2 linked regions of the Oryctolagus cuniculus genome follow. The protein of the gene in region 1 interacts with the protein of each later gene in a biochemical or structural test. Links are inferred from orthologs where the notes say so. Each region holds a gene or a part of one and is shown on either strand. Other genes may lie near its edges.

Region 1 (4,395 bases):
TGGGTTCTTGGCCAGCCGCCTGGCAGAGCTCCCGGTACTGGGCCTCCATGGGGGGAAGCAGCCTAGCCAGCCGCCTCCAGCTCACCCCGGCCAGCGCCCACAGCCAAGCCCTCAGCTCCTCCTGGCTTTCTGCGGCCAGCTTGTAGGCCCGCCCCCCTGTGCCCTCTCCCCCGGGGGTCACGATGGTGAAGGCGAAGGGCTCTGCGGCCTTAAGGCGAGGCTCCACCCGGCAGCTCTCCAACAGGATGAGGCCCAGGGGAGTGTGGGCTTCCTGGTGTTCCAGGTAGAAGAGGAGGTTTCCACGGAGGACAAACCAGCGGCGCTGGTAGCTGCTGTTTCGGGCCCCCTTCTTCAGCAAGATGCCCTCCTGGTCTGGGGCCTGGGCTCTGCAGCCTTGGAAGAAACTGAGCACAGACTTGCGGTGCAGTTTCATGGTGGTGGCCCTGGAGGGACCCTGGGGGAGAGAGGAGTGGTCCCCTGGTTGCCTGGGAGGATGCTCACGCCCTCCTAGCTCCAGCAGGCTCTGCCTGGGCACAGTCTTGGCCTGCACACCCTTGGGCGTTAGCTGTCTTGTCCCACCACCCAGGGCCAGGCCCGCCCACCTCCCCGCCTCAAATCCCATCACCTAGGCAGGGTCGCTGGGCCCTGATTGCTAAGGGGGCGGGGGCTTCATCCCACCGCTGTGGTGCCGGAGGGACCATTGCCCTTTCCTAGGCCTACCTGAGAGCAGGCACAGGGGCTTCTGGGCTGGCCACAGGGCACCCGCGACAATGCCACCTCTGCAGCAGTGGCTGCCCCGCCTCAGAAATCAGGAACTGGCTCCGCGGACAGGCGTGGAGCACGTGATTTCCCCTGGGTCCTAAAGGCGGCTGGGTTCTGAAAGTGTCCCAAGTGCCCTCAGAGGCCATCAGGTGAGCCTGGCTTCCCTTAGGGAGAAGAGCAGGGCCGCGCCTCACGCTAGGAGAGGGCGCAGCTCTGACAAGTGTAAGGCACTTGGCCAGTCTGCGGGAAACGGTGGTGCGAACCCCGGAAGGGGCACCTGGGGCTGGAACCCATCGGCTCTGCTCCTCCTCTGCCCCTCCATCCTGACCCTGGGCTCCCCTCTAAGTGGAGTTGCATCCCCCAGAGGCTGCGTGAGGGCATCGAAGCCACTTCGGGGCATCCTCCGCGCCGATCAGGGTCTAGGCGCCCGCACACTCCTCGCCGCTGCAGACCCGCGCGGCTCACGTCACTCCTGGCGGGGGACAGGGTTGGAGGTTGCCGCCTAGCTCACTACCTACTTCCGCCCGCTCTTCCTGTTAGTCCTTCAAGTGGAGTGAAGCCACTTCCGGCCTCCGCCGTACGCTTCCGGGTGATGGCGGCCAGGTGCCCCGGATACAGCCCTGGTGAAAGCATCTCTCCTTTTCTTCCCCTGCCTCCCCTAGATCCCCAGGTGAGCGCGCGCGGGGCTGGCTGCCGGAGTCCCCGTGGCTGTGCCGCCCTCTAATCTGTACACACCCCGGGACAGTTGGGGGGTCAACCACGTGGAATTGGGAGTTCGGCGCGAGGAGGAGGAGCAGAGCGGCCGGGAGCGCCAGGTCCTGGGTCGGCCCGGGCCCCGCGGGCTCCGAGGGCTTTGGGGTTGCGGGAGCGGGTGTGTGTGCCCGCCGAGCCCGGTAGCGCTCAGACTGCGGAGGCCGGATATGGGCGTGGTCACGTGGGGGAGCCGGGCCCCTGTCGTCGGGGTGGGGATACTCCCCGCGTCTGGCCTGGCGTCCCAGCTCCGTTAGCTCTGGGATGGCGAGCCGAGGCCGTGGGAGCCTCCGGGCTGCAGCTCCCGCTCTGGCCCCCGATTCTCTGTGCTCTTCCCTCCCAATGGACCTGGCACGCACCAGGAAGCGTGTCCTGTGGCCAGGGTTCTCTTGCAGTGGGTGGCCTCCCGCTCAGGCCGCTTCCTCTGCAACTTTTCCCCCATCAGGTTAAGGGAAGCCCCCCTGGCCCGTCATGCCAAAGCGGAAAGTGACCTTCCAAGGCGTGGGAGACGAGGATGAGGATGAAGTCAGTGTTCCCAGGAAGAAGGTGAGGGGGCCAGACCGTTTTGTTGGGGGGAGGGGAGGCAGAGCGGAGCCTGAAGAGGAGGGCAGGTCCCCCAGGACTGGGTTTGGAGGGTGCTCAGCTTGGGTGCAGATGCTGGAGTCTGGGAGGAGCTGAGAATTCTGCATTTCTCCCTTCCTGCTCTCAGCTGGTGGACCCCGTGACTGGGCCCGGGGGTCCCGGGAGCCGCTTCAAAGGCAAGCACTCCTTGGACAGCGATGAAGAGGATGATGACGACGAGGGGTCCAGCAAGTATGACATCCTGGCCTCAGAGGATGTGGAAGGTGAGTAGCACCCAGGGAGGGACGAGTGGGGACTTGAGGGAGGGAGGTTCCTGTCTCTCTCTTTTTTTTGCATGCCTCGCATGGGGCGACTCTGTCTCTGATGCAGGTCAGGAAGCAGCCACGCTCCCCAGTGAGGGAGGGGTGCGCATCACTCCCTTCAACCTGCAGGAGGAGATGGAGGAAGGCCACTTTGATGCCGATGGCAACTACTTCCTGAACCGGGACGCTCAAATCCAGGACAGCTGGCTGGACAATATTGATTGGGTGCGGCCCAGGGCTCAGCACGGCTGGGGTGGGGTGGGGGGGCTGGATCTGGGCTCCTGGAGCAGGTTTGTAGGAAACAACCCCCTGCAGCCCCCGACCCTGACCCCTTTCTTGCATTCTAGGTGAAGATCAGGGAGCGGCCCCCGGATCAGCGCCGGGCTTCAGACTCGGAGGAGGAGGACAGCCTGGGCCAGACACCACTGAGCGCCCAAGCCCTCCTCGAGGGACTTCTAGAGCTGCTGCTGCCCAGGGAGACAGTGGCCGGGGCACTGAGGCGGCTGGGGGCCCGAGGAGGGGGCAAAGGGAACAGCAAGGGGCCCGGGCGGCCCAGTTCCCCCCAGCGCCTGGACCGGCTGTCTGGGTTGGCTGACCAGATGGTGGCCCGGGGCAACCTTGGCGTTTACCAGGAAACTCGAGAGCGCCTGGCCATGCGGCTGAAGGGGTTGGGGTGTCGGACCCAGGGGGCCCAGGATTCCACGCCCCCGCCCTCCCTGGACATGTTTGCGGAGGAGGTGGCTGAGGGGGAGCTGGAGACCCCGACCCCTCCCCAGAGAGAAGGTGAGCTTTGGAGGGCAGAGGAGGGGCAGCGGTGTGGACTGGAGGCCGGGCAGTGGAGCTCCAATCGGCTCCGCCTCTGGTTGCAGAGGCAGAGTCGGCGGGCGACGGCCTGGTGGACGTGATGTGGGAATATAAGTGGGAGAACACCGGGGAGGCCGAGCTCTACGGACCCTTCACCAGTGCCCAGATGCAGGTGAGCGCCCCCCCCCCTCCCCCGCACGCCCCGCCCCACCCCCGGCCCGCCCCGCCCCGCCGTGTCAGCCCCGCCCTGTCTACCTGCAGACCTGGGTGAGCGAAGGCTACTTCCCAGACGGAGTCTACTGCCGGAAGCTGGATCCCCCGGGTGGTCAGTTCTACAACTCCAAACGCATCGACTTCGACCTCTACACCTGAGCCTGCGGAGGGCCCAGTTGGGCGCCCCCCCCACCTCCCCCGTTCTCTGCTGGACTTTGGGGGAGCCGGCCCCCAGCTGCCTTGGGCAGGGAGAAGATTGGAGGCTACTTTTCAATTTCTGTTTTTCCCAATAAAATGCCTTTAGTGGTGTGCGAGGGCCTCGGCTGTGCTGACGGCCAGGAGCCGGGGGCCGTCTCCACAGCCCTTCAGACTGTTATGTGTTTGTACGCTTTTTCCTCTGCCGTGGTCTCTCCCCGGTGCCTTGAACCCTCCTCACCTTCGTTTCCCGCCTCCCTGACTGGCAGGTGTCCTGTGTGGGCCCCGCCCTGATCTGCGCCTGCGCGGGCTTCTCGCTGTGCTGACCTCGCCTCCTCTGTCCTCACAGCCGCTGGGGACCTGAGCCCCGGGCCCAGGAATTGCAGGTGTTAGTGGGACGTCTCGAAGACCAAGGATGAGCAGGAATTCTCTTTTTTTTAATTTTTTTAAAAAAGATTTATTTATTTATTTGAAAGTCAGAATTACACAGAGAGAGGTCTTCCATCCGCTGGTTCACTCCCCAGTTGGCTGCAACGGCTGGAGCTGAGCCAATCCAAAGCCAGGAGCCAGGAGCTTCTTCCGGGTCTCCCACGTGGGTGCAGGGGCCCAGGGACTTGGGCCATCTTCTACTTCTTTCCCAGGCCATAGCAGAGAGCTAGATTGGAAGTGGAGCAGCTGGGACTAGAACCAGCACCCATATGGGATGCTGGCGCTTCAGGCCAGGGCATTAACCTGCTGTGCCACAGCGCTGCCCCCCCCCCCCCCTTTTTTTTTAAGGTTTATTTAT
Region 2 (4,477 bases), on another chromosome or scaffold:
GGAATAGATTTTTACTTACCTAACTCTGAATTTCTTTCTTTTTTAAAAAAATTTATTTTATTTATTTGAAAGTCAGAATTACAGAGAGAGGTAGAGCCAGAGAGAGAGAGGGAAATTTTCCATCTGCTAGTTCACTCCCCAAATGACCGCAATGGCCAGAGCTGAGCTGATCTGAAGCCAGGAGCTAGGAGTCTCTTCTGGGTCTCCCATGTGGGTGCAGGGGCCCAAGGACTTGGGCCATCTTCCACTGCTTTCCTAGGCCATAGCAGAGAGCTGGATTGAAAGACGAGCAGCCGGGACTCGAACCGGCATCCATATGGGATGCCGGCGCTTCAGGCCATGGCGTTAACCTGCTGCGCCATAGCGCAGGCCCTAACTCTGAATTTCAATAGAGTTATAAAATGTATGTTAAGGGGCTGGCGCTGTTGCATCATGGATTGAGCCTCTGCCTGTGGTGCTAGCATCCCATGTGGGCGACGGTTCAAGACCCAGCTGCTCCTCTTCTGGTCCAGCTCACTGTGGCCTGGGAGGGCGGTGGAAGATGACCCAAGTGCTTGGGTCCCTGTGCACACGTGGGAGATATAGAGGAGGAGGCTTCTGGCTCCTGGCTTGGGATCTGCCCAGCCACCTGGGGAATGGACCAGCAGATGGAAGACAGCTCTCTGTTTCTCTCTCTGTAACTCTACCTCTCAAATAAATAAATTTTAAAAAGAGCTATGTTGGCCAGCACTGTGGCTCACTAGGCTAATCCTCCACCTTGTGGCGCCGGCACACCAGGTTCTAGTCCCAGTCGGGGCGCCGGATTCTGTCCCGGTTGCCCCTCTTCTAGGCCAGCTCTCTGCTGTGGCCAGGGAGTGCAGTGGAGGATGGCTCAAGTACTTGGGCCCTGCACCCCATGGGAGACCAGGATAAGTACCTGGCTCCTGCCATCGGATCAGCGCAGTGCGCCGGCCACAGCGGGCCGGCCGTGGCGGCCATTGGAGGGTGAACCAACGGCAAAGGAAGACCTTTCTCTCTGTCTGTCTCTCTCACTGTCCACTCTGCCTGTCAAAAAACAAACAAACAAACAAACAAATGAGCTATGTTAAACATACGTTTTGAGGATTGTAGGCATCTGCAGCTGAGACATAATGTATGTTTCTTTTTCTTGCACAGTTTTAGAGTATTATAAAAACATCTTTTGGGACAGAGAAAATCCATTTCCTAATATTTCCTATGAGTGCATTCTCCAATACTGGTAATATAATAATGGGTTAAACATTTGTTTCCTTCTACTCTCTTCTGAACATTCATCCACCCATCCCTGTGCTCTTAGAAACTATGTAGTTGAGTAGACGAAAGATGGGCTGTGTATTAGAACCGGCCCCTCATTTACAAAAGGCCGGACCTGGCTGATGCTCCACCCCTCAGCTCTTTTTCTCTTTAATGGGGATAAAGCCAATTCTTTCCCTCATTTTTTTTTTTCCGGTGAAGATGAAAATGTGATTAGAAAACGTGCTTTTAAACACACCTGCTTAGACAAAGGAAAACATCAGAAGGGTTGGTTTGTTAGTGTGTGTGTGTACGCGTGTGTGTGTGTTTCATGTCACTGTACCAGAAGAAAGGGGAGAGGCACGTGGTTAAGCTGGCAGGGTGGATTCCACCAGTCTGACTACAGTTCCTTTTGCGAGAAGAGCTCAGACCCACAGCAAGGAAATTGACCCCGAAGATGAGACTCCCAGATAAAATGCTGGCCAGCTTGCTTGTGATTTTCAGCTTTTCCACCAAAGGTAAGGTGCTGTGTGGGTCTGCAGTGTCAAGCAAGCTTCTCTGGGAACCCTGAAGTGAGCCTGAGAGCGAAACGGCACAGCCCAGCCTTGCCCTGAAGCCGGGCGACTTCAGGCCTCAGCCACTGTCTTGCTTTTCGTAGGTGCAGCTTCGTGGGGTACGAAGGTCTCCTCGGATCCGGAGGTCGTCTGGGGGGCCTTGGATCATGACGTTGAACTACGCATCCCGGATTTCTCAATGAGTGACGATACCGAGGATATACGCTGGGTCAGAGAAGAAAGCAGGGTTGCACAGTTCAAAAAAGACAAGGACACCTACAGTCTCAATGGGACTTATGAGCTCGTTGGAAATGTAACTCTGAAAATTAAACAACTAAACAGACATTCTAACAGTAGCTACAAGGTTATCATATATAATACAAAAGGAGAGTGTGTGTTGGAAAAAACGTTTGATTTGAAGGTTCAAGGTAAGTCTTCGTTCCCTAAACTTCTCCGTTTCAGCTGGGTGCTGTTTTAGCAATCTGGGAAAGAGCATCTGGGAAATGTCCCCAACTGCATTTGCCACCTCCAGGAGCACTCTAAGGGACTTGTCTCCTGCCCCGGTGAAGACTTTGTTCAGGGGCGTGTGTGTGTGTGTGTGTGTGTGTGTGAGGGCATGAAATCCACACACATGGAAGTGCACGCTGATGAACCCTCAAGTGCATCTGCCCACAGTTCCCTCTCGGGCTGATTATAGAGCTGTGGGGCTGGGTGACCAACCTGGACATTAGGGTGGCACTAATTGGGGCCGGGGGACAGGCGGGCAGAGGAAAAGTTAACAGTTCCAGATGGGTGATGCAGTGGGGCACAAGGTGTGGGGCCGACAGGTGGAGGATGACGGGCGAGCCAGCTTCAAGCCAGGGGTCCTGGAGGAAGAGTTCTATGGCACGAGAGTTGGACACCATGAAGCCTTTGTTTCTGATCTGCTCCATGGCAGAGGGGTCAAGTGGAGAAAAAGCAAGAGGTGGGGCTTGTCTGTCTGCCTGCCCTGGGAGCGCAGCTGTGGACGTTGCAGATGGAGCCAGCGAGCTGCCAGAGCTGCTGCTATAATGCAGTGAGGGACGAGGGGCTGCTGGGAGTGCTGGTGAGGCTGCGTGTTGGGATCAACAGGGACGGCCCCCACTCCAGACCATTTGGCAGGAATTTTTTGGCACGGGGTCTGGGCCTGGGTCGGCTCGAACGCTCCCAGGTGAGACCCCAGGTGATCGGCGGGAGCAGCCTGGTTGAGGGATGAGTGTTCCCTGAGTTGCCTGTGAAGAAAGCATGGGGGGCGGGGAGGTGGACCTGAGATGCCATTGACATTGAAAGGCTAGGGTACATGGGGCAGGGAGCAATAAGAAGTCAGAGGAGGAAATGACACCTGGCCTGCCAAGGAAGACAGGAGCCCCAGCCCGAGCCCAGGTCAGCAATTTCATACGCACAAGAACGTGTCTGTGCTTCACACAGGAAGTGTCACGGGGCAGAGCCCCTCCCCCCACTTAGGTCCTTCTCAGCACCTAGGCCCAGTGGCAGCTTCACAGCCCCGCACATGACCCGCTCCCCTGCCACTGCCACCTTTCCACACCCTGGTGCTGCAACGGTGACTGCAAAGCACCTCCCGGAAGTGGGATGTGGCTGGGAAGGGTCCCAGAAGGGGCCTTGTGTCATGGGCTCTGGGAACAGTGCAGCCATGACTCCAGCCAGGTCGGCTCCATGCCCGCCATTGAATATGAGCCCCACACAGAGGCGCGTGCTGGGTTTTCCCAGTGCTGTGGTGTTCGGCACCACGGTGGTAATAACAGCTACGGCTAGGTGTCAGGTGCCTGCTTGCTGGTCTCACCCGAAGCCCTCAGCAGTCCCTAGAGGAGGTTGTTACTATTCCCCAGAGACCCGGCAGGAAGTGACTTGTCCAAGGTCTCATCATTTGTCCAGACTCAAACCTAGGGAGGCTTGGGCAAGGGTGGCGGCCGCCACAAACAGTTTCACTGGGATATAATTCACACACCATATGGGAGCCGGTATGAGACCTGGCTGTTCCACTTCTGATCCAGCTCTCTGCTGTGGCCTGGGAAAGCAGTGGAAGATAACCCAAGTCCTTGGATCCCTGCACCAGTGTGGGAGACCCAGAAGAAGCTCCTGGCTCCTGGCTTTGGATCAGTGCAGCTCCGGCTGTTGCAGCCATGTGGGGAGTGAACCAGCGGATGGAAGACCTCTCTCTTTGCCTCTACTTCTTTCTCTGTAACTCTGCCTTTCATACAAATAAATATTTTTTTTTTTAAAAAAGAAGAATGAAAAGAAGAGTTACAAAGAGGCAGAGGCAGAGGCAGAGGGAGAGGTCTTCCATCTGCTGGTTCACTCCCCACATGGCTGCAATGACTGGAGCTGGGGTGATCCGAAGCCAGGAGCCAGGAGCTTCCTCCAGGTCTCCCACATGGGTACAGGGGCTTCTGCTGCTTTCCCAGGCCATAGCAGAGAGCTGGATCAGAAGTGGAGCAGCCGGGACTTGAACCAGTGCCCATGTGGGATGCTGGCACTGCAGGCAGTGGTTTTATCTGCTATACCACAGCGCCGCCCCCCCCCCTTTTTTTTCTCAAGTGCTCAGAACTGTATAACTCAGTGGTTTTTAGTATGTTCACAGAGTTGTACAACCATTATCACCACCAGTTTTAGATTGCAAAATTTACAGGGTTGTG

What was found.
Region 2: the proteins of CD2BP2 (region 1) and CD2 interact in a biophysical measurement, tested with the Homo sapiens proteins (6 studies listed by BioGRID and IntAct, with this or other methods). The link is inferred for Oryctolagus cuniculus from reciprocal best matches to the Homo sapiens genes CD2BP2 and CD2.

Annotation. Positions count from the first base shown.
Region 1 is NC_091450.1:6,706,491-6,710,885, forward strand, and holds CD2BP2 (CD2 antigen cytoplasmic tail-binding protein 2), read left to right. Parts: upstream 1-1,302; 5' UTR 1,303-1,432; exon of another isoform or gene 1,433-1,577; intron 1,578-1,688; exon of another isoform or gene 1,689-1,957; 5' UTR 1,958-1,983; coding exon 1,984-2,058; intron 2,059-2,221; coding exon 2,222-2,357; intron 2,358-2,463; coding exon 2,464-2,621; intron 2,622-2,743; coding exon 2,744-3,179; intron 3,180-3,265; coding exon 3,266-3,372; intron 3,373-3,461; coding exon 3,462-3,572; 3' UTR 3,573-3,789; downstream 3,790-4,395. Other genes in the region: sesquipedalian-1, read right to left, coding at 1-433. UniProt on the Homo sapiens protein: Involved in pre-mRNA splicing as component of the U5 snRNP complex that is involved in spliceosome assembly.
Region 2 is NC_091438.1:53,724,918-53,729,394, reverse strand, and holds the start of CD2 (T-cell surface antigen CD2), read left to right. Parts: upstream 1-1,454; 5' UTR 1,455-1,708; coding exon 1,709-1,769; intron 1,770-1,909; coding exon 1,910-2,233; intron 2,234-4,477. UniProt on the Homo sapiens protein: CD2 interacts with lymphocyte function-associated antigen CD58 (LFA-3) and CD48/BCM1 to mediate adhesion between T-cells and other cell types. CD2 is implicated in the triggering of T-cells, the cytoplasmic domain is implicated in the signaling function.